2 linked regions of the Mus musculus genome follow. Each later gene encodes a partner of the first gene's protein in a complex. Links are inferred from orthologs where the notes say so. Each region holds a gene or a part of one and is shown in the gene's direction. Other genes may lie near its edges. The genes, in order: Polr1e and Twistnb.

Region 1 (4,319 bases):
ACTTAGTTAGGCTCCAAGGATTGATGACCTGGTCTACTCTATTACCTACCCTTTCCTTCATTCGCTCATTTTTAAATTTTATTTTACATTGATTTATTTTGTGTGTGCATGCAGATGTATGCTACCGAGTAAGCTCTCTTCTTCCACCAGGTGGGTCCTAGGAAGACCATCAAACTTGGTAGCAAGTGCCTTTATCCACTGAGCTTTTTCCAGACCTCTCACTCAACATTTGCTGAGGTCCCCCCCCCCCCCACTTTTTTTTTTTACAGGACCTTTCAGGAGTTGGAGGTGCAGAAGTGAAAGAAATGAAATAAACTTTCTTTCTGGCTGGGTGTGATGGTGTGTGTATGTAATCTCAGCACTTGGCAAGAGGATGGGGAGTCACCCTCAGGCACAGAACAAGTGGAGTTTGAAGACAACCTGAGCCCAAAAGGAACAGAGACCTCAGTCCCTTCTTCCTCCTTTCATCCTTGACCACCAGATGAGCAGTTTTGCTTTACCATACATTCCCTCTTGGGACCCAAATAAATTAATAATTTAAAAAGTGAAATGTTTCTAATAGGCTCTACCATTCATTACTAACCTCAAATAAACTGAGTATGGAAAAGATTCTGACAGAAGGGGGGATGACTAATTAGTTAACTAAGTCCTTTTATATTCTTTTTTCCTTTCTGGAAAGAATCAATAGAAAATCACTGGGTAGAGTCAAAGAAAGTGTAACCTTCCAACCAAAGAGTTGTGACAGCTAGAAGCAAAGTATAATTTGTGTGTATGTGTGACAGTTCTCACTTGAACTTGCCTCAAATTCATGGCAGCCCTGCTCTTAAATGCTGGGATTACAAGTGTAAGGCTGCAACACGGTTTCTGACAGGCTCTTTTAGCTGAAAAGGCAGTATCAAGGCCGTTGGGGAAATTGAATACTACAAGATTACATGGTTGAATCACTGTTAGCTCTCTTATTTGGGTGGCTGCATTGAAATTACTCAGGGAGAAACCCTACATTAGTCAGTTTTTTTCTATTACCTTAACAAAATATGTGAGACAAAGCTGGTGGTCTAATCTCCGTGAATTTGAGGCCATTATGTTTCACAGAATGAGTTCCAGACCAACCAGGATTACACACATGGTGATAGCCGGCCTTAAACGACAATAACAACACAAAATGAAGACAGCTCATAAAGAGGAACGGTTTCTTTTATTTTGGTTCACAGTTCTGGAGATTTTGGTGTGACTGGTCCCACAGCTTAGAGCCTGCGGTGAGCAATACAACACAAAAGTGAAGCTGCTCTCCTGGAGGTCCGAGACGAAAGGGGAGTTACTGCATCCTCCTGCAAGGGGGAGGGTGTGATCCTCAAGGGAAAGAACCAAAGAGTGGGCGGGGACGCGATCCAGTGAGGGGCGTGGCCTTACTGCTGGTGTACCCTGGGCGGGGCCTAGAATGTCACTTCCGGTTTTTGAGTCCGCGTGTGAACCGGCGAGCTCATGGCTACTCTGGAGTCTCCTGGGATGGATGACCAGGCTGGAGACACGGAGACAGAGGCGCTACAGAGTGCAAGGTGGCTGTACTGTGGAGAGCCCGACGACAGGCAGAAAGCTGTGCTGGGTAAAGACCGCCGACCCGGAGCGGAGTTCCGCGTAATCCTTTCCGCTTCTGTCTGGGTACCACGGTAGCCCACTGCCTGCAGCCGGGACAGGTTCCCTGCCACCATCACCTTTTCCCTCCGCATTCATCTATCGTCACCACTTCGGACTCGTCTCAGGGCAGTGCCCAGGGACCTGACATCTCCACAGCTCTCTCATTTGCCCTTTTCCCCCCTCTACGGAGCAGAGTTTCCTCTCTTGCCAGTTAATGGCATTTCCTCAGTCGTTCTCTTTTGTCACAACCCCTGCCCAGAGGTCACTTCCCCTCCCCTCCTCCATCTCCCTCTTTAGAACTGGACCAGGGCTTTCTTCATACCCCCCCGCCCCCCGAAAGTCGGACTTAAGCTCCCTTGCCTTCACTACCGGCGTCCAGCCACAGTGCAGGTCTCCCCATCCATACCCTGCTGGTCCTCGCCTCTTATTCTTGGCTTACACTCTTACAGTCCAGTTCTCCAATGGGAAGCTGCAGAATCCGGGCGACATGCGCTTCACCTTGTACAACAGCACCGACTTAGTAAACCCCAGGCAGAGGAGTCACCGGATCGTGGTAAGTGCTTGCTGGTACAGATGGTCTGGGCTCTGCAGACCTCAAAAGGTTCTTGGTGTGGGCAGACATGGGAGACCTGGCCTGGGGGGGAGGAAAGGAGGAGTAGCAAATGAGACTCTGGCCCCACTGAGGAGCAAGATTTTGGGCTTTTCACTTATATGGGCTTTATCTTTCCAGACAGGGTTTCTTCCTGTAGCCCTGGCTATCCTGGAAATTACTATATAGACCTGGCTGGCTTTGAACTCAGAGAATCACCACCTGTCTCTGACTCCGTAGTGCTGGGATTAAAGGTGTGCAGCACCACCCACCCCTGGCTTCATAAGTTGTCCCCCTACATGACCTTATTGAACGTTCACCATGTCCTCATGCCGCAGGCTAAGGAAGCATCTTCATGGGATTTGCACCTCTTAGGGAGGTCACTGTTCAGAGCTCAGCTTCAACCCTATTTTATGTGTATGGGTGTTGTTCATTTTTGTCTATGTACAATGTGTGTGTAGCTAGTGGAAGCCAGAAGTGGGCATTGGATCCCCTAGAACTGGGGTTACAGATGCTTGTGAATCAAATGTGACCCCAGAGTGATGGTTTTTTTGTTTGTTTGTTTGCTTGTTTTTTCAAAGGTTTCTTTGTACAGCTCGGGTTGGCCTTGAACTTAGAGATCTACCTGTCTCTGCCTCCTGAGTGCAGGGATCTGGGATTAAAGGCCTGTGCCACCACCACCCAGCTCCACAGGATGCTTACTAGCATCTCTGGTCTCTCCCGGGTAGATGCCAGGGTTAAGACCGGTCTGCTTTCCAGAGACTCAAATTCACCAAGTAGTACAGGCATACAGTAGAGCTAGCTTGGGGTCTAAGGGAGTGTTTAGGGCCTGGGGAGGGAGCTCTGTAGGAAACAAGTCTCAGCTTGTCTGAATGCCTTCCTGAGAAGGGTGAATGGGAATGAGGGACGATTTGATAGCAGATGTTTGGTGCCCTAGTGAACGAGGGAGAAGAAAAGCTTGGCTGCGATGGGAAGCCAGCCCTCATAGGACGAGCTAACGTCAGAAAGGTCACAAGGCAGTTATGTATAGGATCAGTTAGGTACCTATAAGTGCTAGGAGACCAAGACCTCACTGTATAGTTCGTTGTGCTGCTTATTCAAGAACTGCTATTTTCATCTGTATTCCCACTGCCTTCTGCCCACTGCCCTCCCCCATATCCCCCTCCTGCTGGTCCCTTGCCTCCCTCCCAAATAAGTCGCTCTTTCATGACATACATACTGGGCTGGAGAGGTGCCTCAGCATTAAAGAGCACTTCCAGGGGACCGGGGTTCAATCCCTGAACCCACATGGAGGTAGCAACTGTCTATAATTCTAGTTCCTGAGAACACAACACCCACTCCTGGTTCCTGTGGGCACGTCATAGATAAGGCATGCATGTGTGCATAAAGGCAAAGCACTCTCAACACATCAACATTATATCTCATTACATACATACTATATCAGCCTCTCGTTTCCCTTCTTTTGCACCTCTTATGATTCCTTTCAACTCTCATGCCTTGAATGTGTGCATATTCACACACACACACACACACACACACACACACACACTCTAAATCTAGATTCTGCATAGGAGAGGAAAACCTATTTTCTTTATCTGTTTTTGTCATTGATGCGCATCTAAGCTGGTTCCATTTCCTGGCTGTTGTGAATCGTGCAGCAGTAACCATGATTGTAGAAGTACAATACAGTGTGCTAACTGAAGAGCCTTCTGGGTGTATGCCTAAGAGTGGTCCAGCTGCCTCACACAGCACTTCCACTTGTAGTTTTTGAGACCCCTCCACACTGACTTCCACTGTGGCAGCAATAGCTTGCACTCCCACCAGCAGTGAGTAACGGTTCTTTCCCCACATCTCTGCCAGCATTTGTTGTTAGTTGTTTTCTCGGTGATAGCTGTTCTGACTGGGGCGTGATGGAATCGCAAAGCATTGTTTGTTTGCTTGTTTGTGTGGTTGCTATTTCTCTGTGGAATAGCCCTGGCTCTCCAGGACTTGCTTTTTACACCAGGCGGGTCTCGAACTCACAGAGATCCACCTGTCTCTGCCTCCTGAGTGCTGGGATTAATCACTGCATGAGAATGCGCGCGCGCGTGTGTGT
Region 2 (3,816 bases), on another chromosome or scaffold:
TTAAGTAAGCCATGTGTAGAAGCTAAACATTCAAGAGTACTCTTCTTGGAAGATCTGAGTTTATGGGTTTCCTAATTTGGTAACTATTGCAATTCCTTTCCTATGGGTTGTGGCTGTTTCACTAGAATGAAATCTATTATAGAGAAATCCTTTCTCTTTAGATGAACTGTACTAGAAATTGAGACCAATAAAACATTTCTGCTGTTCATGGCCTTAGACTTGTGTTTTGAATCTAAACATATACAGATGGATTCAATAAAATTAGGTTACAATTAGTAATACATTTTTACATGTGGTAAAGAAGTGATTTTCTTTCTTTGGATGGGGGAGTCAGGGGAATTTCCTTCAGGAAATTTTTCATGTGGGAGAAATAAGAAAGCTCATATGTCTGTCTTAGTTAACTGGCTTTTTACAATTAATCATGGCTTGTTAGTCTCGACTTGAAATGTGTCTACTAAGGGTCAGCTCTCAAATGATATGGTTATGTACATTAACATGTCTTTTCACTAGAAAAGGTTTTAGTTTGGTATTTTTCTGTAATTAAGTCATTGGTTCCAGTGATCAGAGACTGTAGCTTAAACAGTCAAGCTTCCCTTATATAGTATCACATAGAAACTAGTAATAGTAGGTTGTGTCACAGTTGCCTGTATTCAGTCATACAGTATCTAGATGTTTTCCTTGCTTAGGCCCATTATTGCCCCTGTATGACTGGTTCAGATAGGTAGCATGTGCGTGTCAGTTTATTACCAGTGCATAGTTCTGAATACCCATGCAGACGGTCACTTTAACTTAACTAAGACATTGGAGTTTTTTGATAAGCTGTAATTGCTAAGATCTGCTAGTGCTAGTCTATAAGACTAGGTGATGCCGTTATGTTTGGGAAAGGGTGGTATATCAGAGGTAACAGTAGATTATCTTTAACTAGAATTAACAGTATCTTTTCCCCCTTAACAGCCTTTTAGGTGTCCCTATTGCATATGATAACATCAGAGTTGTGGGTGAACTAGGAGATATTTATGATGATCAAGGACACATTCATCTTAACATTGAAGCAGATTTTGTTATTTTCTGCCCTGAGCCTGGGCAGACGTTAATGGTATGTACATCATTTTTCTTTTCTTACGTCCTTTACAACATTTTTTCTCTGTGAACCCCCACCCTGGTTTAGCACCCTTCCTACTCCCTAATAATCACACTTCTCTCCCAGGTTCCTTTAAAAAGGAACTTCAGTTTCCACATAGGAGAGGAAGCTGTAATTGTCTGTCAGTGCCTGTTTACTTCACTAACGTGACACACTTCAGCGCTCTTCATTGCTGCAGATCACAGGAATTCATTCTTCTGGGTGGATGTTTATTCCACTGTATTGCACTGTGTGTGTAAACTCGGGTTAGCCAGTCATCTCCTGACAGGTGTGTAGACTGACTGAGTAGTGCCGTGTAAGCACGGGCGGGTGCTCAGTGTTGAGTTTACTTCTCTTGGGTTGTTATGGTCACGTGGCAGCACTTCCTTTTTAGTAGTTCCTGTAACGTCTGCTGGTTTACAGTCACAGAGGAGCTTGTTTCTTTCACAGCTTTTCAGTATGTCAGTTTTGTGGTTATTAACTCTCTAGGTGGAATAGCGAGTCATTTTCTTGTTGCTGTAACAAAATACTTGACAGAAAAAGCTCGAAGGATGAAGGTTTTGTTTGGCTTCTGCTTTACATGGCAAGGAAGACGTTTTCATCCTGCTGGGCCAAGAAGCAGAGAAAGGAATACTGGTCGGACTCGATTTCTACTTTTCTCTTACTCTCTCTGAGCCCCAGCCTTGGTTCTTTCGCAGCTCTGTTAATCCTCTATGGAAACTGTCTCATAGACACACCCAGGAGTGTGCTAGTAGCTAGTAGTATACTAGGTAATTCTAAACCCTGTCAAGCTTTGAGAGTGCCTAGCCATTGCAGATAGATCATTGAAACTGTGCTTTGGATTTCCCTTGTGGCTAAATGTTTATTGGTTACTTCTACTTCTTTTGAGGTATGTTTAGTCAGATCATTTGCCCATTTTTAATTGACTTACTTTTTTGTTCTTTATATTTTGAATATTAACTCTGACATTTCTCCTGTAATTCCATTCAGAGTCCTCAAAGAAAAAGAATACACACACACACATACACACACTTACTTTAACTGGCTTGCAAAGCAAGATGGTTCTTTTTATTCGCTTTTACATTCAGCTTTGGATATTATTTTATTCCTTCTTTTATTTATCTCTATAGATTGATGATTTACTCTGTCGATCTCATTTGATTCTGTTATTTCTCTTGTGTGACTAGTGCAGTGACGGTTACTCTGACACTATCATTTATGTACTCTGAATGTTTTGTCTGTTCACTGTTTGCATGTAATGCCTACAGAGGCCAGAAGAGGGCCTCAGATACCCAGGACAGAGTGTGCGCTGCCATATGAGTGCTGAGAATCAAACTCAGGTGCCTGGAAGACCAGCCAGTGCTCCTAACCACTAAGCCTTCCCTCCGGGCCTATATAATTGTCTTGATGCTAGTGTTCTTTCTTCTACTTTGGGTTGTAGGACTCCCATAAGCATTTCTTTTTTTCTTTCTTTCTTTTTTTTTTATAAGATAATCACAAATGCTCTTAGGTTTTACTTATCTTAGAAAATCATTGTTTCTTACTTTCATAGAATATCCTTGCTACTAGTTTATAGGATGTGGTAGTCACGACTGACAGTTACTTTATTTTAGGGATTGAAGCTTGTTAACCTGTACCTACTTGGCCTACTGGATTGATTTTCCTGGTTTTCTGAGTTTGTTTATTTATTTTTGTTTCTTTCTTTTCCTGATAAATTTGCTATTAATGTAAACAGGTTACTTTTAACTGTGGCCTGGAGATTTTTCTCTGAAAAATTTGAAAATTCTTTGTCCTATATCTTTGAAAATTTGGTTGTAAATGGTTTGGCTGTTTGAGAGTTCTATAAATTTCTTGCACATGATTCTGTAGTTTTTGTCTTTGCCCTTCACTTCCCTCTCCTTCGAGAACACCATTTATATAGTTATTTTCTTTCATGGTGTTTCAAAGATCTTAATTACTGTTCTAATTTTTTCCCCTTTCATTTTTTTTTTTTGAATGTGATAATTCAAAAGAATTCTGTTCAAGCTTTGTCGTCATTTCTTCCACTTGACCTAATCTGATAAGGGGTTTAACTGAAGTTTTTAAAACTAATTACTGTATTTGAGAGCTTTATATACTTTAGTTTGATTATATTCACTCCATTCCCGTAATCTTCCCAGCTCCTCCCTCTCCCACCTGACTCATGTTATCTCTTTTTTAAGTCCAGTTTGTTTTGGCTGACCCCTGGACATGGGGCCCTACTGCGAGTGTCCTTGGTATGCCAGGTATCGCACCATTAAGTAGAACTGAATTTCCCTCTCCACTAGCAATTAAATGCCAACAGCTCCTCAGCTGGGGTGAGGACTTTGTGTCTCTCCATGCTGGGATTTTGTTTGGCTTGGGTTTGTGTAGGTCTTGTCCATGCTTTTGTGCAGTAAGCCTTTTCTTGAGGAGCTGGTTTCTCACTCCAGATAGGAACCCCATGACAGACCAATATCACTAAAGCCTAACTTTGTAAACCAGTGAGTATTACTAGGGTTATTTACAGGAACACTACAAGTTTTTGTCTGGCTCTAGGCAGATTCATTGTAGATGGATCAGCCCTAGGCTCTTAAGTCATAGATGAGGCCATTAGAGCCAACAAGCTACATTACACCTGAGTTCATGGCAGACATTTTTATAGGTATTGCTGTGGTGGATTCATGATATAACATTGC

Evidence for each region.
Region 2: Polr1e (region 1) and Twistnb share a complex: the UniProt entries of both Homo sapiens proteins name them as parts of the RNA polymerase I (Pol I) complex. The link is inferred for Mus musculus from reciprocal best matches to the Homo sapiens genes POLR1E and POLR1F.

Annotation. Positions count from the first base shown.
Region 1 is NC_000070.6:45,017,190-45,021,508, forward strand, and holds the start of Polr1e (DNA-directed RNA polymerase I subunit RPA49), read left to right. Parts: upstream 1-1,419; 5' UTR 1,420-1,482; coding exon 1,483-1,603; intron 1,604-2,084; coding exon 2,085-2,188; intron 2,189-4,319. UniProt on the Homo sapiens protein: Component of RNA polymerase I (Pol I), a DNA-dependent RNA polymerase which synthesizes ribosomal RNA precursors using the four ribonucleoside triphosphates as substrates.
Region 2 is NC_000078.6:33,432,551-33,436,366, forward strand, and holds part of Twistnb (DNA-directed RNA polymerase I subunit RPA43), read left to right. Parts: intron 1-954; coding exon 955-1,096; intron 1,097-3,816. UniProt on the Homo sapiens protein: Component of RNA polymerase I (Pol I), a DNA-dependent RNA polymerase which synthesizes ribosomal RNA precursors using the four ribonucleoside triphosphates as substrates.